3 linked regions of the Alligator mississippiensis genome follow. The protein of the gene in region 1 interacts with the protein of each later gene in a pairwise test. Links are inferred from orthologs where the notes say so. Each region holds a gene or a part of one and is shown in the gene's direction. Other genes may lie near its edges.

Region 1 (7,793 bases):
AGGCAGCGGGATTCCAAGGCTTGTTATCAAAGAAAATTCTTGTGGTTCCTCTTGTTTCATCCTCTAACTGTTCCTATGATGCAAGGTAGGAGGGCTTTAAAAATACGGTCTTACAATATAAAGGAAGTATTGCCAACAGATCCTGTCTACACAGTAATGAACATAAACTAGCTCTTGCAAGCATATCTAATGTTTATGCAATATCTTCACAACTGGGGTAATTAATAAGAGCCCCTGAGGAGCATGAAACAGAACAGGCACTTCTAGATTCTGATCTAAAGCAGCTTCAATCACCTGCCACTTTTGTGACTCAGCCAACTAGTATTAGGTAATGGGATAGGATAATGTTGCAGGCTTCTGATGACCAAAACCCATTAAACCTGTTCAGTGCATGGAGCTGCAGCAACAGAACAATACATGTGAATTCTCTGTACGGAGAACTCTTTGGAAGATGGCCATCCATGACTGCTACCAGGCTATAGCTACCAATCTTGATGTTGGTAGATCAGCTGCTGGATCTGTTGTAACAGGTGAGTACTTTATCAAGGAGGTATTGTCTCCTAAGCAGTAATGGGTAGTGCAGGTCAGGGGATCCCAAAGTGTTGGTTTTTGCACTAGACCTAGGAGTTCACCAACAGATTAGAATTTTCTATGGTGAGGCAAGGCCTGATTGCTGACTATGGGAACTGCACCATTAGTTATATAAGGTGGTCTGGAAAGGCTCAGGAGGAAGTGTTTAACTACGCCCTGGCTGTGTCTACATGAGACACTAACTGTTCAGTAGCTTGCTACTACTGTGCAGTAATGTCACGTGGCACAAAGTGTGACATGATGCTACTGTGCAGTAGTAATGAGCTACTGTGCAGTTGGCATCACCTAAAAGCCATTTGGCAGCACTACTGCACAGGTACTCCAGTTACTGCGCAGTCATTTAGTACTTGTCTACAGTCATTTAGTACTTGAGGGGTAAAGGAAGAAATCTGATGTTGGGAGCTGGAGGCTGATGAGAAACATCTACCTTTTATTGAAAGCTCCTTGCCATTTTGGCACAACCTTCGTGAAACTAAGGGAGACAGCCTCATGAATGGATAGGAGAAGGAGCTGGGCAGGTTTCCTGAGTGTTTTGAATAACATCTACAAAGTGCTACTGTTCTTCTGAGGGACAGAAACATAGATACAACATGCTCCTGATGCTTCATGTTGTGTTGTGGGGATTTTTATCTTATTTTGTGTATATTTCCTGTTTAAAGAATATTGTGCAAAGCTCTGCAGCTGAGTGCAGACAAGGTTGCACTTTTACAATGTTTCCTATCATCCCTACTGCTGTCTATGAGGTGGTAGCCTGCTCCAGTCCCTTCTCTCCCTTCTCTATACTAGTGCTATCATGGAAAAAAAACAAGTGGTTACTGTATCCAGGCCAATAGTGGTAAAACAGTGCCCTTTCCTCAGGGCATAGGCTCTTCATCTCAGTTCTATGAGATTATGCAGATGACAAAACTCCACAACCTTCCCAGTCCCTGGGACTCCTGGGTCTATGATAGGTGAGTGACAAGTGGCAGGGGGCTGTTGTTAGAAAAGATTAACAACTACAATAGGCTCTCGATGTAGGGGCAGTTGTGGCAGCTCACTTAAGGTGCAATCCCACTCACCTCAGCAGCTGACCGGTTTCATTCATGTAAAGCTAAGGCACTTTGCCAGCTGAGGCATCTAAGTCAATGGGGAAAAGTGCAGTTCCACAGGTAATGTGTAGGAGGGGCATGTGGGGGCATGTACCCTCCTGAAATTGGCCACTGCCGAAGCCACTGTTGGCTTCTGCGGGTAGTTGCTGCCTGCACCTGCCCACCCCCACCTTGCTGCTGACACAACCGGCAGTGCCACCCCCCGCCACTGACGGTCCCTGCTTGCTGCCATGGTGCCCCCCAGTCTTGGGAGGCACCAGTTGTTCATGTGCCAGTGTTCATAGGGGCATTTTAGATTACAAGTTAGTAAGATCTTATCTTCCACAAGAAAAAATCCAATGTATAACGAATCTCTCACCAACCTATTTCTACTTCACCCAGTAACATCAGTAAGAGCATGGTTCAGCTTTTGGAATGCGGCCTTTGACGCCTACGTAATGGTTTCCCAGGCTTAGCACATGCACGTAGGCAAAGGTAGTTTAAATCAGTCGAAATCCAGGTGAATGAGCATGTGCAGTATCTGGTGCTGCAGATTCTTCTGCAGCGCCATACATGCAGGTATTCGCTGCACGGCTAATTTGCAGCATGGGCAGAGGGGAGGGATTCTGACACTGAGAGATCCCAGTGACAAAAAAACCCTGCACCTAAAAAAAGCAGAGTGGTGCATGTGGTGGCAGCATGCACCACCCGAAACTGGAGCCTAACTGGCTGGAGCCACACTCTGGCTGCCAGCCCAGCCTCCCTGCTGCTGGATTGGCGCGACTGCAGCCCCTGGAGGCCCATGGGACCCCAGGTAAGGCTGCTGGGATGAGTCCAGGTGCTGGCCCCAGCCTCCCTTACCTCAGCCAGGGCAACTTGCTGCCTGCCACAGCATGCGTGCACAGGCGCTCCCCAGGGACAAGCAGCAGCAGCGCAACTGTGTCACTGCTATTTTCTTCCCGGGAAAATTCACGTGCACGCTCTTCTGGATGTGCCCAGTGTGTCTATTCAGCAGGCACCTCATGGACATGATGTGCATAGCCCCTTAAGGTGTCTTTTCTTCAGTCAGGTGTGCAAGAGAACACCTTTCTCTGCAACGGACCTCCCAGAAATAGTGATGAGAGATGCCTGCATTCAGGAATTACCTCTACATCACCTTTTTCATGGCTGCATGTAACTTCTACAGCAATTTGATTCCCTAAGGCTTCCATTCGTGTGTTCCCCCTCTCCCAATTTGAGAGGGATCTCTATCTGGGGAATCTATATAATATTATCAGTATTGCTAGTTTGTGCCTTGAGCCCTTAGCGACCTGTTCTCTATTCTAAGAGTCAGGGAAGAGGCCTTTTTGTTCCTCAATATTACATCTCCTCCAAGTGTAAGATTCAGGTTCTCAGAGCTGATCCCCTTCCACGGTGCTGTTTTGAAGACAGGATCTCACACAGCACTCTGCACAAATTCCTGTCCTGAGTTGTACGAGGTGTATGTGAACCTATGTATTCATTTCCCAGTTTTCTTCACTGACCACAGTGCGAACTTTGTACTTCATACACTGGTGGTAGGAAGGGTCTGGTTACTTTAACAGGACAAAATCCTATGGGAACATACCTAGACTGTCTTTGCTAATAGGATAGAAAGTTAGGCAACAGTCTCACAGAGATTATTAAAATGCGTCTCTAAGCATATAACATGCAGTGAACTTGCTGAGTCAGATTCCTGCAGCCATTATAGAGCCTATTTCAGTAGAGATCCAGCACTGTTTTCCCCTGCTTGAAAAACATCGAGCAGTTAATATACTGTGGTCCACGTCCATATTTAAGGATCCCAGGTACGACCAGAATATAAGTAACACCATATTCAGCATAGGTAGGATAGGTGAATATGGTAGCAGTCCACATTCGCAGGACCTTGCTGTCTGGGAAAGGCTTCAGATTGTACACTTATATGGCTATCCTCTCATCCTTGTTTAAATAGGACTCTTGCTGTTGACAGCCAAGGTGACCATCGACTGTTTTAGTCACAACACTGGTATCTATGTGGGAGCCCCATCAACCACCGTGCACTCAAAGGAGGGAGCCTTAAAGTTGCTTGTTTAACTGCAGGGGTTTTTTAACCTCACAGGAGGTATAATTCACAAGATGCATCCTCCATGCAGATTGCCTCTCTAGTGCTGCAGCGTCTTACCGGGCCAGGCGTTCATCGGGGCTGCCTGGGGCCGCCCAACCTTTCAGCCCTGTGGGCCAGATGCTGGCGCGGGTGTCAGGCTGGGGTCTGGCGTGTCGGCCCAACCCTGCGTGCCAGCCCCGTCCGGTGCGCCGTGGCACGGCATCCAGCCCGCAGGCCCGGCCATTTGGCGTCAGGGAAGCAGCAATTAACACTGATGTGGCCGGAGATGGGGCACCACTCGTTAAGCTAAGGAGCTGAGGCACAGCGGGACCTGCTCTGAACCGCGTGCGCTGGGCGAGGGCCACGATGCCGCGAGGGCCCCGGCGCCGCGGGGAAAGACAACAGGCGCGAGCAGACATGGATGCAGGGCAGCACCGGACGGCAACAGGCTGCTCCTGGCTTCCCCTCCTTCCCGGGGCACGGAAGATTAGCAGACTGTCGGTCGTTGGTCTGAGGGCACGGGCAGACGAGACTCTCTGAGTAAATGGGAGGTTTTTTATTAGACCCACTGAAAAGTTGGAAAAATTGTTCTGTGCAAGCTTTGGGAGACACACTTTTTTTTAATTATTAAAATGATCTATCTATCCATATACATATATGTGTGTGTGTGTGTGTGTGTGTGTGTGTGTACACGTACGTGTATATTTGTTCAGACCAGGCGAACACGCGGGGGCAAGTGTCGCGGGGGGAGGAGCTCGGGCCGTGGGCCGCACTGGAACGAGGCTGTGGCCCCGCCCCCCGCGCTCGTCGCTCGAGACCGAGACAGTTGGCCGTTGACACCGCCCCAGGGCAGAGGCGCAGACAGAAGAGAGCCACGCCCCGATTGGCAGCTGCCCGCTTTCAAATAGCGACGCTCTGGGATTGGTCCGGCCACTCGTTCAAGTCGACCAATCGTTGCGTAGACTTCAGCGGACCCCGCCCCCACGCCGTGTCCATAAAGGGCGGCGCCGCCAACCCGGCGCAGTGCTCGGCGAGCAGCTAGCTGGGGCGGGCGCAGTGTTTGGCTGGTGGGAGCGTGCGGACCCGCACAAGATGGCGGACGGAGACAACAAGAGCACCAACCAGCTGGTGAGCGGCCGGGCCGGGCGGGGCTGCTTCCGCCTCCGTTCTCCTCCTCGCCCTCAGCTGCTGCACCCGAGCCGGGCGAGGCCTACCCCAGCTCCTGCGCCGCAGTCTCCCCGGGCTGTGCCGCAGCAATGGCCCGCGCCTTCGCTCTCCCCTGGCTCGGCTCCCCTGGGCCCGTGCCCTGGTGCGCCCTTGCCCTTCCCCTAGGCAGCGGGGAGGCCTCTGCGGCTTGGGGCCCGGCTGCCTCCCCGCCCCACATCGGGCTCTGCGCTTTCTCCTCTCGGCTTTCGACTCCTAGCGCTTGGCTTGGCCCCTGCCCCAGGCTCTGTGTCTCCCCTAAAGGGCTGGGCTGCTTTCTCCTTAGTCTGGATTCGGGACAGAGCAGCTGACACTGCAGCTCCATCTCCACCCCTGTCTCACATAAGCCTGTGGCATCTCTGATTCAGTTAGTCTGTAAGGTGCACCTCTTCTCACTCCAGGGTTTTTATGCTTTTGCTTCGGAGAGACAGGAAGGCTTGAAACAGCCAGGTGTAGGGGCCTTGCTCTGGACGAAGTGGGGAATACGCAGATGGCTTTAAACACAGGTTCAGGCAGGAACTGAAAATGAGGGCTGGGGAGTCAGAGGTAGTAGCAGAAATAATCGTGGGAGGAAGGGGGAGGGCGGCTTTGAAGGGTGACATTGAGGAACGAAAGGAGTGATATTTTGTCTGCAGTTTCAGATTGGACTTGATGGCCCAGGAGGTCCCTTCCAGTTCCTTGTTTTTGAAAAGTGAGGCACTCAAACGGTGTTGAGAGCTGAAAGAAGCTCCTAGAAGGAGCTTTGAAAAAGTAGTAGAAAGGAGGAAGCAGCAGCAGATGAGAGTGAGACTCAGGCACTCGGCTAGAAAGGGTCTCTTGGAAGCTGGGAGGTGCTGCATGCGGCATAACTACAATACCTGGGCTAGGGAGGGGAGGTGGCTGAAATTGCCTGACTTAATGGGAGAGAAGGCTTGGGAGGGGCAAGCATTTGAATGAAGGTTGAGGAGGTGATGGACAGGAGGAGTTGGCACCTGTTCTCTGCCTATTTGCATGGGAGAACAAGTACACTTGCTACCTGCTTTGTGTGCTGGCAGAAGTCAGGCTGTTATTCCTGACAGCTGTATTCTAACCTTTGTCCTGCTAAAGTGCCTCTTGTGTAATGGGTAACTTAAGATGAGTTCCCTTTTCTGAGTGATTGCTGGTGGCCCCAGATACTGAAGTAACACAAACATAGACTTGTCTGTTGACAGCAGGCTTTTGTCTCCTAGTTTGGAAAATGAGAAATTGAGGCTATTTCTAGAAAGTGTGAAGTAGATATACTTATTGTTGGTACAGTTATCTTTAATGTGGAAGGTAGATAGGGCAGGACATATAGATATAACTGATCTGATAATTGCATCTAGGTTTTGATCATCACATGCAGATTTTACACTGACTACTTTGGGTTTTTTGTTTTAAGTTATTTCTACCTTCCCTCTCCCTAGGAAAATAGTCCCTTTTTGTGATACCAGCAATCTTTCCTATTTTCCCCATGGACAGCAAGCTTATCAGCTATATTTAATGTGTTACATATGACCTGAGGCAACGGTAAAGAGGCTGGCGTAGGCATTTTTTTTAAGTTGGATTGCCGTGTGACTAGTCAGATGTGAAACTACCTTTTTTTTTTTCTATTTTTGACCATTTCTGAGTTAACATCACCTTTTGTCATTCATACATATAATTTAAAAGAATGCAAGCCAAAAATTGTTCAGTTTATGGTATCTCATAAATAAATGTACTAAGTACATTGTACTAGTGTACCCAAGTACTTTTGGGTGCTACTCTTGGAAATGTGTGTTTTAATTCTTTGATTTTTTTTTTTTTTTTTCCCACTATTAAAAAAATTCCAAATAGGTTTTTCTGCTTTTTGTCTAACTCAAAATGGAGTGAGAAGCAGTGAAACGGACTGGATGTAAGGGCAGTAAAATACATGTACTAAATACTGGATAGGGTGGGGGACTTGAATTCAGTTTTAGTTTTTAAAAAAGAGGACACTTTGAATTCCTTACAAATGCTTTCTCTATGCTGGAGAATCTTATGATTGGCAGACTAGTTAATCTCCCAAACAAAAGTCTTCCTCCCTCCCTTTCTTTTTCTGAAGGGATGAGCTTCAGGTTGGGATGCAGAATAGCTTAGGAGATCTAAAGACACCTTATCTTGGAGGACATGTTACTACATAATCTGCTGTGAAAATCTTAACCTTACTGTCTTCATTAAAACCACAGAGTTACAGTGCCAAGTTGTATGACTGAGGAAAAACTGGTGGAAGAACATTTAACTGAAAAGGATTGACTGTGTCCTGTACCTATAGAAGAATAATTTATTTTAGTGTGGCTTTGCAAGCACAAATACTTAATGAAAAATTTAGTGCATGTAGTAAATAATTCATATGTAAGTACCCATGTGACTTTCTAATTAGTGACAACTTTAAATGTCTTTTTATGCAGGCTGCAGAGACTGCCAGCTTGGAAGAGCAGTTACAAGGATGGGGAGAAGTAATTCTGGTAACTGACAAAATCCTTCGTTGGGAAAAAGTATGGTTTCCACTTGCAGTAATGGGTACTGTTACCTTTGCTTTCCTGTAAGTAGTCTGCATTATTTTTGCCAGAAAATCAACTGAAGCTTTCTCCTTAAAAATACCACCTGGGAAAGTTTTGCTCCAGTATCTCTTGCTTAATATAGACAGTAAGGTCTAAGATTTTTTTGTAAGAGCAGTAGTAACAGGAGGGTGCACAAGACCTCTTGCTCTGAGGCCAGCAGTGATTGCATGTTTCACTGATCCTTTTATTTATCCTTTCTGACCTTGGTTGTTAAAAATGTCCTTTATGAGTTGCTGTTGCTCTAGCTTT
Region 2 (7,714 bases), on another chromosome or scaffold:
CCCGAGATCCACAGTGCCAGTGCCAGGGCGACAAGGAGACCTCTGCTCGTTCCCAAACCCCTTCACGACACACACGAATCTGTCTGCCGCCCCACAAACACAGCCTGCTTCCCTTGTAGGATTCCATCGCCCAATGAGTGGCTGAAATCATGGTTTTTCATTAGACTTCAATCTCCCCAGTACCTTTTAAGTGGAAAAGTGTTGCCAGCCACCTCCAAATAGAGCAGTGGAACAGCGACTGCGGGCCACTCCCAGCCCTGCGCACCAGGGCAGCACATGCCTTGTACAAGACTTCAAAGTGCCTCGTCCCATGTCGCTCTGTCTGCAAGCTTCACCTACTTACTCCAAGACTTGGATGCGGCTGGCTGAAGAGGTTACAGTGCAGATCTCTCTTTCACAGTTAGTCAGAGGCCAAGAAAGTTGCTTTAAAGTTACATCTGGCGGAGAACTTGATGGGACTCTGCTCCATACAAAATCCCATTGGTCACTGCCTACAGAACACGCAGACGCTCTTTGTCTAACGGGCAACGCAGAGAGCAGGGAATCACCATCAGCTCCACCGCTATTAGCCAGAATGACAGCACGTCGTTTGCTGCAGCTGGGGGTAGGTCAGGACACCCTGCCTTGACTACAGGGGCTGGAAAACTCCCCTTCAGATGAACCCAAGCTACCTGAGAGACAGGAAATATGTCCAGGTGTGCACAGCAACGCATGCTGGCAAAACCTCCCATAACAACTATGTGCCAGTTTGATTCCACTGGGATTGAAAAGACTCATAGGGGGAATTCCTGGTTTTCAGTCAAGCTACTCGGCCTCTCCAGCCAGCCACCACGCCCCGGGGAAGGGGACAAACAGGACAGCGCAACGGCACGGGAAAGAGTTCAGACCCACTCCACACGCCGCCAGGAGGGCGGCTGCAAGACCCTGCTCTTGAGGTAAGAGCCGCCTCATCGTCTCCAGGGCTCGCCCGCGCCTGTCCCCAGGGTATTGGGCAGGCACAACCAGCCACGAGGCCCCGCAGAACGGCAAACCTCTCGCCGCTGCCCTGGCTCCTGGGGAAACCGCTGCAGCACGCCGTGCCTCGGGTGCAACCGCGTTCGCGCTGTGCCCTCGTCAGCTGCCCTCACTGGGGCAGATGAAAACGCCCCCCGCCGCCACCTGCCACGTGCACTGTGCACGGCCGTGCCGGCGCTCAGAGCAGGGGCTGCTGCGGGCAGGACAAGCGCCGCAAGCCCACGCCGCACCTGGAGCAGCTGTGCCCGGCTCCCGCTGCAGGACGAGAGACGCCGTCTGACCGCAAACAAGCACCAGCCCCAGGCGCCCCGGAGCACAGGCGCGTCCCACGCGCGGTCAGCCGCCGAGGACTCGCCCCGCAGCGCCCGTCCCGCCAGGCCCCGGGCCCCGCTGCCAGCACGGCGGGCCAGGCCGCACGCGGGCAGAGGGGGCTCCAGCACGGAACAGCCCCGGGCCGGGGCAGCCCGCCCGCCCGCCCGCCCGCGGTACCTTCCAGCCGGCAGAGCTGTTGCTGTCGCCCTTGTCCTTGAAGTAGGGCACGGAGCGCACCATCCACTCGTAGATCTGCGCCAGCGTGAGGCGCTTGTCGGGCGCGCTGTCGATGGCTTGGCTGATCAGCTCGGCGTAAGACTGGTTGCCCCACGCGTTGCGGCGGGAGCCGCCCTTGCGCGCCGCCCGCGCCGCCTCCGCCCGCCCGGGCCCCGCCGCCGCCCCGGGCCCCGCCGCCGCAGCCGCCGCCTCCCCGGGCCCCGCCGCCGCCGCCGCCCCGGGCCCCGCCGCCTCGGGCTCGGGCTCGGCCGCGGGCTGCGCGCCCGCGAGTTCAGGCCGCGGCAGGGGCCAGGTGCAGGAACGCGGCCGACTCTGCGGCGCGAAGTCGGGGTCGAGCTCGAGGTCCAGCCCCGCCGCCGCCGCCATGGCCCCTCAGCGCCGCCTCATGCCCGTCGCGGCCCGGCCGCTGCCGCCGCCTCACGGCTCTGTTTACCACGGCCCGCGGCGTCTGCGCATGCGCCCGCGAGGCATGCCGGGGCGGGGAGTTTCCAACGCGCCGGACCCCGCTCGCCGCGCCGGCGCCAGGACTCGGCTTCCCGTCAGCCCCCGCGCCGCAAAGGAGGGCGGGGGCACGGAAAGGCATCGTGGCAGGGCTGGTGTGGAGGCGGACTACAGCTCCCAGGATGCTCCGCGGGGGGTGCCGGAAGCGTGCCTTACATAACACCCCCGACTTCCTCCCAAACAGGCGGTGCGTCACTCGCGCTTCCCCCCCCCGGTAGGCTGTGCCCGAGGTCGAGCCGCCTCGCTCCGCCGGCTGTGCCTCCTGCACGCCTCGGGGACGTCGGCACTCGCCGCCCCCCTCAGTCCAGGAGCTGGTGCTCAACGCGGGGGCAGCAAGGCCCGCCTCCCGCCAGCCTGCCCGTATCCAATATGGCTGGCGCCTGCTGCAACTGGCCGGATGAAGCCAGCCTGGCGCCGCCATCACTACGGGCAGGCGAGGGCCCTACGGGAGCCGGCAGCAGCCGGCTGCTGCTGTAGAACGGTGATATCCGGGGTCTCAACACATTTTAACATCGGCACATACAGCCTAGATTTATCTAAAACTCGAGGTTTTTGAACGGGAAGGCTTTTATCAGTGCTGCTCTTCCTTAAACAGAGACCAAACGTGTGCTGGAAGACGGGTAATGCTTTTCAGACCTTGCGTGAGGCCTGGCGTGTGCAACTCATGTTACTTGTGCCCAGAGCATGTGCAGGGGCTGCGTGACACCACCACCTGGGACAGGGCATCCTGGGTCAGGGGAGCAGAGAGCAAATGAAGGCTCCATAACCACATCCTCCGCTCCCTCTTGAGCTGCCCGTGTTGAAAGACATTATCATTCAGAGCCCGAACGCCACCCCTGCACGCAGTGGCAGGGAAGCGGGGAAACTAGGAGCTGAGGAGAGAGTGCAAAAACCCCATGGTTGATGTTCAAAATACCTCGCAGATTAGGGGCCTCATTGCTGCTTTCTGCTCTCTTGAGGACAGGATGAGGATGCCTGAGACCAGTTGCCTTTTGTAGGAGTCTTCCACCCTGATGTATGCGTTACTATAGAAACAGCAAGTAATAATAGTATTAGCAGCAGCAGTGGTGAAACCCAACCCCCCGGGGTCTGGAGACTGCAGCTTCCCCAGGCACGGCGGAGCCTCCCCGCGGATGTGGGGGACCGTTGGAAAAGGAGCTGGGCAGCACAGCCCGGAGATGGCCGGTTCTTAGGGGCTGCAGGCCGTGCTGTTCGGGATGGGACCCACCCGTGTTTTTACGTGTGCCCTGCAGCGTGGGTCCAGAGACCTGTTGAAAGCCAGTGAAGGGGACTGATGCAGGCTTGTGTCCACCCAAGGCACAGTCCTGCTTCTTGTGCAGCACTATGTCCCTCTGCACAATTGCTGCCTGGCAGGCTGAAGACACTTCATAACCCTGCAGCTCCAGGAGCACCTGCACCTCTTTCCCCTTCACGGTCATTCCCCGTCCAGGGTGGGATTCCACGTCTCCCACTCCCAGGCTGTGCCTTGGCCTAGGGCATCCTCTGTGTCCATCAGACTCGCTCCCCTCGCCCCCACCCAGCTGCTTTCGATGCCTGAAGTTCGTCCTGCAGAAGACTGTGACCGGAGAGCTGCCTTAGACCCAAAGCCCTGCTTATTCCCACTTCTCACAGAGCCTGGAGAGGAAAGGCTTTGCACCAACACTGCCCATTCGTGTCCGTCAGGCCTGACCTCCACCAAGGGGTTTGCAAGTCCTTCAGAAGGTCTTAGGGCATCCCAGTGTCTGTCTGGTTCCCCAACCATTCCCGTTTCCCCCTGGAAAAAGACCACAACTTCCTGTGCGGCCACAGCCCCGTTCTCTGCCGGGTCCCAGGCCTCTGCCTGCCACCACTGGTCTGGGGGTTGCACGGGGAGCCAAGCCGACCCTGCCATTCTTCTCTAGCAGTGCGTGCGAAGGGCTGGTTTATCCTGAGCCTTTCTTCTTCCTTCCTGCTGGTTTTCCTCCCTGCCGGCTGTTCGGCTCAGCCAACACGGGCACCCGGCGACCCGGCTGTGCGTGGTTTGTGGCTGACGGCCCTGCCCGCCTGGGACCACCATGGAGGTTGATGGGAGCGTGAGGGCGCTCCCTGTGCTCGCCTGCCAGTCTAGGGAGCTGGGGCCTGGCACGGCCGTCCTGTGCCAACAGCTGCCCAAGCCCCTAAGGCAGCAGAGCCGCGCTGCGGGCGGGGCGGGGGCTGCACACCCAGCCCGAGGCCCGCGGAGCGCGCTGATGTATGCGGGGGGGCCCAGCGCCACGTGGGGTGCACGTGACGCCCTAACGGGCCCGCAGCGCCGGGTGGGGTGGGGGTGTCTGCATATGCACGCACACGCGCGGCGGTGCCGGCGTGCAGCCGGCTCGCCCCTTTGCTACTCATGTTCCGGGGCGGGCGGGCGGGCGGATGAAGCGCGCCGGCCGGGACCCTGCGTGCCCCGGCGTGCGGGCGCCCCGGTGGGGCTGGGCCGGGCCGGGCCGGGCCGGGCCGCGGTGCCGGCGCGCAGGGTCCGCGGGCTCGGGCGGGGCGGGGCGGGCGCTCAGCTCCCCGGCCCCTGAATGTGGGCGGGGCGGGGCGGGGCGCGGCCATGCGCGTTGCGGGGCCAGCGCCGGGCGCCCCGGAACCTGGCTGGGCGGGGCGGCGCGGGAGGCGGGGCGGGGCTGTGCGGCGGCGGCGGCGGCGGCACCATGTCGGAGGCGGCGGTGGCCGACACCCGGCGCCTGAACGCGAAGCCGCAGGACCTGACGGACGCCTACGGGCCGCCCAGCAACTTCCTCGAGATCGACATCTTCAACCCGCAGACCGTGGGCGTGGGCCGCGCGCGCTACACCAGCTACGAGCTGCGCATGCGGGTGGGTGCGGGCCGCGCCGCGCCGGGGGAGGGGGCCGCGCTCGCCCGCCCGCCCGCCCGCCCGCCCCGGGCCCTCGCCGCGCCCCGGGACCCGGGCGCTCACGGCCGGGCGGTGTCGGAGCGCGGGGCCGGGCCGGGCCGGGGAGCCGCCAGGTGCGCTGTAGGCCGGGCAGGCGGGCGGTCTGAGCCGGTGCAGTGCCGCCGGGCCGGCCCCGTGCCGGCACCTGCGTGGAGCCCGGGCGCCCGCCCGTTAACCGCGCCTCTGCCTTGCAGACAAACCTCCCCATCTTCAAGCTGAAGGAGTCGTGCGTGAGGCGGCGGTACAGCGACTTCGAGTGGCTGAAGAACGAGCTGGAGCGAGACAGCAAGGTGAGCGCCCGGCCCGGCCCGGCCCGGCCTGCCCTGGTCTCCACCGCCGGGGGGGAGGGACGGACACACTTGAGCTGCTGCCCCTTGTCCCTCTGTGGGGGGGAGGTTCCCAGGGCACGACGCCTGCCCTGCCCTGCCCTGCCCTGCCCTGCCCTGCCCTGCCCTGCCCTGCCCAGCCGGGGCAGCGGGTGGCTTCAGGACCGTGGCCTGCAGGGCTGCCGAGGGGCTGCCCCCCGCGGGCGCACACTGGGCTCTTGGCTGACGCGGGCGCGTGCTTCCAGATTGTAGTGCCGCCGCTGCCCGGGAAAGCCTTGAAACGACAGCTCCCGTTCCGGGGTGACGAGGGGATCTTTGAGGAGTCTTTCATCGAGGAGAGGAGGCAGGGGCTAGAACAGTTTATTAACAAGTAAGCATCACGAGTCGGCACGGGACGTGGCTGGGGCGGTGAAGGGCTGTCTGCTGCTGCTGGGGCCGTGGCCGCTGCCCTCACCGCAGCGCGCAGCTGGCAAAGCTGCAGCTCTGAAGGGATCGCTGCTGTGTGTTGCCCCTTCCCTCTGTGTCGGGGGCTGTGCGCGTGCCGCTGGCTCCTGCGGGGTGCTGAGCAGTGCAGGCCCCTGGGCCTTTCTGCCTCTTGTGCTGGTGCTGAGGCTGCTGCTGCTGTCACTTGGAGACAGCAGCCAGGCGAGGGGAAGGGGGAGCTGGAGCGTGGCACAGGGCCCTGGCATGACCGACTGGGTGCTGCGTCCGTGTGGGTAGGATCAGACCCACAGTGAGGCTCTGTTCTGCACTAACAAGATGGGAGTGGGACCTCCTCCCTTGCAGGCAAAGGTGGCGAGTGTGTCCTTGCTTCCCACAGCATGGGACGAGGCCTGGGCTGGGCAGGCACTAACCTCCGCTCCCGGTTCCCTTGCAGAATCGCCGGACACCCTCTGGCACAGAACGAGCGCTGCTTACACATGTTCCTGCAGGAGGAGACCATCGACAGGAACTACGTCCCAGGGAAAGTCCGTCAGTAGGAGAGCCCGGCACTCTGTCTTCCTCCATTCCACCTTCCTCCTGCAGAAATGACATTTATTTTTACACTAAATCTGTCTCCTCTGAACCAGCTTCTCTCTGAACCTCCCAGTTTCTCCAGTATTTTTTTCTCTTTTCGTATCTGGCAGCAGCGTTGATATCTGCTGGGCTTTGATCTGGGCCTGAAGGTGTGAAGACGCATGCAGTGTATCTGTGGTGGCAGGAGCGAGTAGGTGTGTGACGGGACTGGCACGAGGCATTATTGCAGTGTATGGAAGCTGCCCCTCTCCCCTCACAGAAGGCTCCAAAGTGACCTTTGCTTCCCTGTCCACGCAGCCCCGAGCATATCTAAAGGAAACTGAGCAGAACAGTGATTGTCGCCGGTCAGCCGCGGCAGCAGGTGCTGGGGAGATAGTAAGGCTTACCCAGAAACTCCGGTGCTGGGGCAGGCAGCTGGTCCTTGCCCATCCCATGCCTCCTCCCGCATGAACCCTCCCTCTTCCGCTGCCCAGTCCTGAGGCCCAGGATTCTGCTCTACCCCCTGCTCCAGGCCTCCTGCCTTGCAGGCCTGCTCAGCACAGCGGGGCTCATCCCTCCCCCACCCCATGCTCTCTCCTATGCTGCTGGCAGCTTTGGGGACGTCTCCATCGCCTGAGCTCTCATGGAGCAGTCCAGTATGTTTGGAAGGGGGTTGGGCTGGGCCTGGGCTGCTGAGGCTGCAAGCATGTGTAGCTGAGGAGTTGAGAACGTGCCAAGGCTTGGCCCAGTGCAGGGGGGGGTCTGGTCAGGCTTTGCAGCACCCAGTGAACAGACTTGTGTTGGCTGCTTCTTGCGTTGGTCTCCTCAGGCTTGGCTTCTTCCTTTCACTTCTCGGGAGGTGGGGGGCCTGGCAGGGTGAGTGGGGCACTGCTACTCCCAGACTGAGTGGTGCTGACTGCTGCTTGCCCCCCTCGGGAACGCTCTTGCAATCAGTGTGGGGCAGGAGCTGTTAGATCCAAACTAGCACTAGATGTGCTACCAGTTGCAAGGTGCCCCGGTTGTTGCCCCTCCCTGTGCCTCGCTGCTGCTCCCCCGCCCTGCGAAGCTTTGAGGCCAGGCACTTACTAGTGTGGGCAAAAAGGCACGGACTATTCAGGCAGCTCTTTAAAAGCACTTTCCTCAGAGGGTGCAGAAGGCTGCGAGCCGGTCCCTTCATGGATTTGCTTCTTGGTGCACTTGCCTCTTTGCTCTCCAAACTCAGTTGCTTGCCGTGGATGGGGGACCCTTGTGCAGAGGGGGACCTGGAGGGGCAGTGGGTGTCTTGGCTCTGGAGAGAGGAGGCTTCTGCCTTTTTTGTATTGATCTGCAGTGACCTGACCTCCTGGCCGTGGGGATGCCCAGGCTCCTGCTGGCCAGCGCATCCACTGAGCTATTCACGCGGGGCTC
Region 3 (7,704 bases), on another chromosome or scaffold:
AAGGGTGTATCAGCACGTCGGCACTCGAACGCACTTTAAATGGGCAGAGTTCAGGAGTGTGGGTAGCAGTGTGCGTGTGTGTGTGTGTGTGTGTGTGTGCACGCATGTGTGTGCGCACGTGTCAGTCTTTTAAAATACAGAGGGGTTTTTTTAAGATGGGTCTATAAACATTTACAAAGGGGAATTTGATTCATACCCAGGGTTAAAAATTTTTTTTTTTAAATCCACCTGTCTGGAATGATTAACAAGCTCCTCGGATATATCCTGGGAAACAAATAATCCTGTCTAAAATAACGCCCGGCCTCTTCTGGCAAACTCCCTTCAGCCCAGCCGTTGTCGCTGAAAGGGCAAGCATGAAAGCGGATCCTTGGACAACAACGTGCCTTGAGCTCGCTTTTAGTGCAGTGAATGTCCCTCCCGCCATCCTCCCTCCCCTCCCCTCCCCTCCCCTCCCCTCCCCTCCCCTCCTAGGAAAATCACTGTGTCTTAATACAATTGTCAGCTTTTTTTGGTGCCTTAAAACACGGACGTGTCTTGTATCCTGGCTGTGACCTGTTGCTGCTGAAAATGTCTTGTCTGCTTCTGCAGCTCTGGGCCGGACTCTCCCCTCGCTTCATTCTCTGGTCTTTTATCTAGTCCTGCTGGATCCTGCATGCTACCCGGTTCCCCTCCTGGTCCTGTTTGCCCCTCCATGCCCCAGTCTGAGCGGTCTCCTTGGACCTCCTCGCTCATAGCAAAAATTCAGTGTCTGCAAAGACTTTCTCCGTTACATGCATGCGCTTCACGGCCTCGGCGCTCTGCTAAATGCCTGTCCTCTTCCTGCCTCAGTCCTGGCGACTTTCTGCCACTCTTGGCACCTGCTTCTACCCTCCTGCCTCATCTTCTGCCTCTTCCTGGCTTCCTTCTGGGGCTAAATCAGCGCCGGGCACTGCAGCATCCTCGTTCCTTCCTCCGACTTCCAAAACTCTCTTGCAATCTGAGCTTCTTGCATAACGGGGGTGAAGCCGAATGCAATTTTTCATGGGGGTGGGGGTGACGTCTCCAAGGAGAACAACCTCCAGAGGAAGCCTGAAAGCTTTCTGGGAGGGAGCAAACAACGGGATGGTTCCCCGAACGTGCTGAAGCGATTCCTTTAGCCAAGCACCCAATTTATTCATAAGGAAGCGCTGCCTTGAAAATGGCTCCAACCCTCCTCCCGGCAACTCATCCCGTGGTGCCTGCCCCTTCGAGTCGCCTATCTGCTTGCACCCAAGCAACGTGTTGGGCCCCATTTCTGAAGGGTGGGGGAGAGGTCTGGTTTTGACCCCAACATGCTCCATCTCCCCCCATCCTCTCCAGGCTCCTTGCAGTCCTGCTGCTGAGATAGCCAGCCCTCTCCACGGGTTTCCTGCATCCAGCTGTGTATCTCCTTGCCTTCCCTCCTCCACGCGATCCACCCACGTTCTTCTGGGGCTTGCTGTTCCCTTGGCCCCTTTGCCCCACTGTCAGTGATGTGGCTTGTTTCCATGCTGCTGCTACTGCTTGGATCAGCTCTTCTCTCCCCAAGCCCAGCTCCCATGGGAAGTAAGCAACCCACCTTGCCCTCCCAAACCGGAGTCCCCTTCCCGTCACACCCACTCGTGCCTTTTAGACTGGAAGCTGTTCAGGGCAGGGACATTTATGGCTGCTTTTCACCCACAGCCATCGCTGAAAATGATGGGAGGTTTCTTGGTGTTTGCATCTGTGCCGCTAGCAACATCTCCCCTTTGCAGACCGGAGGAGAGGCGTTGTGCCGGACTGAGCTCGATCTCCTTCAGGATGGAAACTTGGCCATGACGAGGCACCGCAGCACTGGGGCAGAAGGGGAGACCTCATCCCAGTTGCTCCCGCTTCGAATAGGCACGGGACTGTTCCCTTTTCAGGGGCTCAGATGTAGGGGGCTTTAAAAATAGGAGTCCAGATACAAGTTGGAAGTGGTCAGGGAATGGACTTGGCTTCCACAACTGACCTTTTCTTTTAAAATTTATTTCACAACTCTCAGATCCCATCTTCGATGGGAAAGCGTCTGATGTTGCGGGATTTCCTGTTTTCTGGAAACAGGGAATTTTCCAAAAAATATCATTTTTTCCTTCAAGAGACCCTTTTGAATGAGCTGTGATGTAACCCAGTGTTGAATGACACCCATGACTCCCTTCCTCACGCTCTCAGCCCAAGCTCAGCACAGCCACCCGACGCGCCATGGCCGCGATGATTATTTTTCAGCGGCTATAAACTGCGTCTTACCCCTATAATTCCAGCTTTACATCAGTATTGCTGTGCCAGGAAGTGACAGTTGCTGCGTGAAGGTCCGTTCTGCGTATATCCCACTTCATGTCTGCCATTCTGGGTAAACCAATGCGTGGAAAAGGCCATGGGCAAGAATTAGCACTGCAATAAATGTTGAGAGAAACTCAGCACGTCAGGGACCAGATAAAAAACACAGGTCTGATATTATCTCAGCTAGAAGAACGTGTGTTTTTTTGGGGGGGTGGGGGGATAGAGTTGGTTGGCTTTTTAATATTGAGCCTGTTAATAAAAAAATTATATATATCTATATCTCTCTATCTCTGTCTATATCTATATAGATAGATTTATCTATACTTATCTCTATCTATATAGAGATATAGATAGATCTGTCTATATAGATATAGATAGATAGATCTATCTATATAGAGAGATGGATAGATCTGTCTATCTATATAGATATAGATAGGGATATAGATAGCTAGATTTATCTATATAGATAGGGATATAGATGTATCTATCTATATAGATAGAGATAGGGATATAGAGAGATATATCTATGTAGCTAGAGATATAGATAGATATATCTATCTACATAGATATACATAGATATATAGATATATCTAGAGAGATAAAGATAGATCTAACTATATCTATATAGATAGATATCTATATATAGCTATACATATATGTTACGAATCCAAGGAATGATTGCAACAAATTGCCAGATGATTGATTGTTGACATGTCCATAACTATTTAATATAGGTGGAAATGCTTTATTGTAAACTGTAAATTGAATTTTAAACCTAGAAATCGTATTTAAAGCTGCTTTTGGGTTGGTAGACGCGGCAACGCTCCCCCGTCCCCCCCTCTTCGGCGTGTAAAACAGGCGTGTACAATCCCATGAGACGCTTCCGACTGTGAAACAGATTTCTGTCGTTGCCTTGTGTACTAGAGGACAGGAAGGCCGTGCACTTTATCTGTAGGAAGACCTAATTGAGAAATCTCTATTTTTAATTATAGTGATGACTAGAGGTGATTGCTGCCTGTTTTCCCCCTCCCCTCTTGTTCGCCTTGAGCTTTTTCTAATGGACACGAGAAGCCGGAAAGAAATGCGTTTGAATGTGAAATCTCCTTCAGAGCTTTGCACAGGACGCTGGATGCTGTCTTACATGCATAACTGTAATATGCTGTTACCTTATTAATAAAGCCTGTCGCTTTGTGGAAAGCTCACATCAGCGTGGCCGTTTGGGGGCTTCTTGGGCTGGCGATGAATTCCTGCCGCGCTCACGGGGGCTCCTCACCCTTCGCGTGGTGCCGGTCCACACCTGTGCTCCTAGTTCACATGAAGACCTCCCCGCAGGCCGTATCCCATTATATTCCAGTATGTGCAATATTCAGCCCCGCTTCACACAGGAGACCCCAGAGAAGACCCGGGGCTGTCAGAGTTGGTTTTGGTGCATTGGCTCTGGAAAAGCCCTCCAGGTTTCCAATGCAGGTTTGCACCAGTGGTCCCAGTTCACATAAAGACCTCCCCATAAGCCGTATCCCAGTATATTCCAGAATGAGCAATATTCAGTCCTTCCTCGCACTGAAGCCCCCGGAGAAGGTCCAGAGGCTGCCATGGGAGGTTTCAGTGCGTTGGTTTGGAAAAGCCCGCCGGGCTTCCTCTTCCTTTAGAGGTTTGTTCCAGTCCGTACCAGTGGTCCCAGTCCACATAAAGACCTCCCTGGAGGCTGTATCCCAGTATGTTCCCTCCTCAACCACCCCAGGGATGGTCCTGGGGCTGCCCCGGCTGGTTTCAGTGCATTGGCTTCGAAAAGCCAGACAGGTTTTCTCCTCCTTTAGGTTTGTGCCAGGCCATACCAGTGGTCCCAGTTCCCATGAAGACCTCCCTGTAGCCTGTATCCCAGTATAGTCCACAATGAGCAATATTCAACCCCTCCTCACGCAGGGATGGTGCAGGGGCTGCCATGGGAGGTTTCAGTGCGTTGGCGCCAGGCTTTTGCTAGAGGTTTGTGCCGGTCTGGACCAGTGGTCCCAGTTCCCATGAAGACCTTTCTTTAGGCCGTATCCCAGTACAGTCCAGGACGTATCTCGTGCGGGGCAGGGGGGCTGCCATGGGAGGTTGCAGCTCCCTGCAGGGTCCCATGAGGACACCCTGTGCACCGTGGCCCAGTGCATCCCAGTATGAGATGAGCCCCATGCCACCCCGCCTCCTGCAGGGGAGGGCTGGGAGCAGGTCAGTGGCTGGAAGAAAATCCCCACAAGCTGGTGCTGGAGGTGGTGCCAGTGCACCCTGGGGTGTGATGGGTGCAGTGTCCTGTCCATCCCCCAGGCGCAGGGTCGTGAAGGGACCTCCTTGCCCCTAGGTGGGCGCCCACGACCGGGCAAGCAGCTGCGGGCAGCGGCTTCTCCGTGGCGTCTGCGCATGTCCGGCGCATGCGCAGTGGCGGGAGGACATGGGCACGGGGTTCCGCGCCGCCCGGTCACTGCTGCGCCACATGGCGAGTCCCGCTCCCGGCCGCGCCCCGCGCCTCGGCACCCACGACGGCAACTTCCACTGCGACGAGGCGCTGGCCTGCACCCTGCTGCGGGTGCTGCCCCGCTACCGAGTACGGACCCCCCCCCTGCACGTGGGACTGCCCGCGGGGACCCTCCTACTACCCCCGCTGGCCCCGCCCCCTTCCAAGCCCCCCCCCTGGGTCCGCAGACCCCCCCCACCTTGTACTCTGTGCCCCCCCTCGCCTTGCCACGACCCCCCTGCACCTGGGACCTCTCCCCACATCTGGGACCCCCCCCCCCGCCGTGGGATGCGTGGCCCCCTGCACTGTCTCCAATGAAACCCCCCCCCCAGGACCTGCAGCCGGGCTCCCCTTGCCCCCCTCCGCGGGACCCCCCCCCAACGCAGCACCCCGGGGTCTGTGCCCCCCCCCCCCCACCTGCCCCAGGGCTTTGGGGTGTCCAGGGCCTTACGGGGACCCTGGTGCAGGTGGGGCTGGGGGTGTTTGTGGGTCCCATCCCCAGTACGCGGTGGGGGGGCCTCCGGCCCCCTCACGGGCACCTTCCCTCCCCCAAGGATGCAGAGATCGTGCGGACGCGGGAGCCCCAGCTGCTGGCCCAGTGCGACGTGGTGGTGGACGTGGGCGGCGAGTACGACCCGCAGCGGCACCGCTACGACCATCACCAGAGGTGAGCCCGGGCCCCTTCCCCGTCTCCCTTTGCAAGAGGGAGCGGGCCAGAGGCTGGAGCGCGGCACTGGTCCTCCGGACACCAGCTTGGCCCCGTACCTGCCGGGAACCCCCGTGGCTTGGCTTTGCCCTGCCTCGGTTTCCCCTCCTCGGACTCTGAGCCGCAGGGTCCGTGCAGCACCCGGCGCCGCGGGGTCCCGCTGGCTGTGCTGGGGCGCGGGGGAGGCCACGGGGCTGATTCTCCGGGGCCGGGCAGGTCCTTCTCGCAGTCCATGCACGACCTGAGGCCCGACAAGCCGTGGACGACCAAGCTGAGCAGCGCGGGGCTGGTGTACTTGCATTTCGGCTCCCAGATCCTGGCCCACCTGCTGGGGCGCGCGGAGGACGACCCCGTGGTGCAGCTGCTGTACGATAAGGTATGTGGCAGGGGGGTGCTAGGGGAGTCCTAACAGCGACTGCCTGTGCAGGAAAAGTCCCTGCTCTACCTGCCCCTCCCCTCCCGGACCTGGAAACGTGGCAGAACCCAGGAGTCCTAGCTCCCTGCCCCCGCCCGCTGACACTGCATTGGCACAGCTCATGGCGTACTCTGTGTGGCACCCGCAGCACCATTGAAGGGAGCTCTGAGCACCGTGGCCACCTGGTTGAGGATTGCTGCGCTAGACCCCACTTGCTAGGGAGAGACACATGGCATCCACGGCTTCCTGGGCTTCCCTTGGTGCTCTCCCGCCAGTCACGCTTGCTCCAGGTGGCAGTGCCAGCCTACGGGGTCTTCTCTGTGGCACAGTGGGTCACGGGAGCAGACGACCCTCCAAGGCAGGCTCAGATCCGGACTCCTCGGGTGTTTTGGGGACAGGAGGGACTGTCCCGCTGAGCCCTACCACCTCCTTCTGCCCCGGCAGCTCTACGAGAACTTCATGGAGGAGATCGATGCCATCGACAATGGGGTGGCACAGTTGGACGGGAAGCCCCGCTATGCCGTGACCACGGACCTGAGTGCTCGCGTCGGCTTGCTCAACCCCCGCTGGAATGACCCCAACCAGGACACTGAGGTGAGGCCTGTGGGGGATCAGGGAAGAGAGGGCAATTCATGAGACCAGAAGTGCCCCCAAAATCGTTCAGCTGTCACACAGGTGGGGGGGGGGGATGCCATCTTCAAAGATATCGTTGGGCACATGTAAAGGGAGGAGCTGATCCTGGCATAGGTCAGGCTGTACCGTGGTCACACATGGAGGGGGAGAAGCAGATGAAGGTAGGGGGTGGGCTGGACCATGAGGCATGTAGCAGGGAGCAGATAGAGGTGACCTGTCCCGTGGACACGTGTGTAGAGGAAGAAGCCACATGGCGTCAGGGCTCACAGCCTCGCCAGCCAGAAGCCAGCTGGATCCACTCCCCCTCGTGCTGCCATGGACGGGCACCTGCTCTTCCTGCACACGGTAGAGCTGAGCACCCCCCAGGGTCCAGGGATGCCCTGGAAGGTGGGTGGCAGAGTGGGCCTGACTGTGCGCCTGGGTTAGGCCGGTCCTACACCAGCTGTCTGCCCCCCCTGCAGACCCAGTTCCAGAAGGCGATGGAGCTGGTGAAGGCCGAGTTCCTGGACCGGCTGGATTACTACCACCGCGCCTGGCTGCCTGCCCGCACCCTGGTGGAGGATGCCGTTCAGAAGCGCTTTGAGGTACCTTCTGCCCTGGGGAGGCACCCTGGCCTTCTACAAGGCTATTGCTAAGCCAGGACCTGCCCCCACAGCACAGGGATACAACCCAGGAGTCCTTGCTCCCAGCATGGCCCCTGCTGGGATGGTCTCTGCTCTTGCCAAGCGCATGGGTTTCCTTTGGCAGTAACAATTATCTGTACTACGGAGCTTGTGGGCATCATAGATGAAGTGCAGGCGAGGGTCCACTCCCAGTCGGCAAAGTGAGGGGAGCTGGGGGGTGCCAGGTCCCAGCAAGGGGGTATTGACATCCTGGGCAAGGCACAGAGCCCCATGCTTCTCCCTGCCTCCCTCTCCCCCAGGTGGACCCCAGTGGGGAGATCCTGGTGCTGCCGAGCGGCGGCTGCCCCTGGAAGGAGCACCTCTTCAGCCTGGAGGCAGAGCTGGGTGTGGAGACACCCATCAAGTTCGTGCTGTACCCGGACCAGAACGGGCGGTGGCGCGTACAGAGCGTCCCTGCCACGCTGCACAGCTTCCACAGCCGGTGAGGACCCCTCCCCCCATGTACCCTCAAGGTGGGGGTAGTGGGGTCTGAGCTGGC

Evidence for each region.
Region 2: the proteins of ARL6IP1 (region 1) and SNX12 interact in binary tests that used the Homo sapiens proteins (3 or more experiments, as listed by UniProt). The two-hybrid records come from large-scale screens. The link is inferred for Alligator mississippiensis from reciprocal best matches to the Homo sapiens genes ARL6IP1 and SNX12.
Region 3: the proteins of ARL6IP1 (region 1) and MYG1 interact in binary tests that used the Homo sapiens proteins (3 or more experiments, as listed by UniProt). The two-hybrid records come from large-scale screens. The link is inferred for Alligator mississippiensis from reciprocal best matches to the Homo sapiens genes ARL6IP1 and MYG1.

Annotation. Positions count from the first base shown.
Region 1 is NC_081836.1:44,689,220-44,697,012, reverse strand, and holds the start of ARL6IP1 (ADP-ribosylation factor-like protein 6-interacting protein 1), read left to right. Parts: upstream 1-4,781; 5' UTR 4,782-4,854; coding exon 4,855-4,890; intron 4,891-7,391; coding exon 7,392-7,525; intron 7,526-7,793. UniProt on the Homo sapiens protein: Positively regulates SLC1A1/EAAC1-mediated glutamate transport by increasing its affinity for glutamate in a PKC activity-dependent manner.
Region 2 is NC_081831.1:83,126,783-83,134,496, reverse strand, and holds the start of SNX12 (sorting nexin-12), read left to right. Parts: upstream 1-4,704; 5' UTR 4,705-4,742; coding exon 4,743-4,907; intron 4,908-5,179; coding exon 5,180-5,275; intron 5,276-5,556; coding exon 5,557-5,681; intron 5,682-6,188; coding exon 6,189-6,291; 3' UTR 6,292-7,714. Other genes in the region: FOXO4 (forkhead box protein O4), read right to left, coding at 1,504-1,929. UniProt on the Homo sapiens protein: May be involved in several stages of intracellular trafficking.
Region 3 is NC_081838.1:8,882,682-8,890,385, reverse strand, and holds the start of MYG1 (MYG1 exonuclease), read left to right. Parts: upstream 1-4,694; 5' UTR 4,695-4,726; coding exon 4,727-4,879; intron 4,880-5,343; coding exon 5,344-5,456; intron 5,457-5,711; coding exon 5,712-5,871; intron 5,872-6,354; coding exon 6,355-6,504; intron 6,505-7,004; coding exon 7,005-7,127; intron 7,128-7,465; coding exon 7,466-7,647; intron 7,648-7,704. UniProt on the Homo sapiens protein: 3'-5' RNA exonuclease which cleaves in situ on specific transcripts in both nucleus and mitochondrion. Involved in regulating spatially segregated organellar RNA processing, acts as a coordinator of nucleo-mitochondrial crosstalk.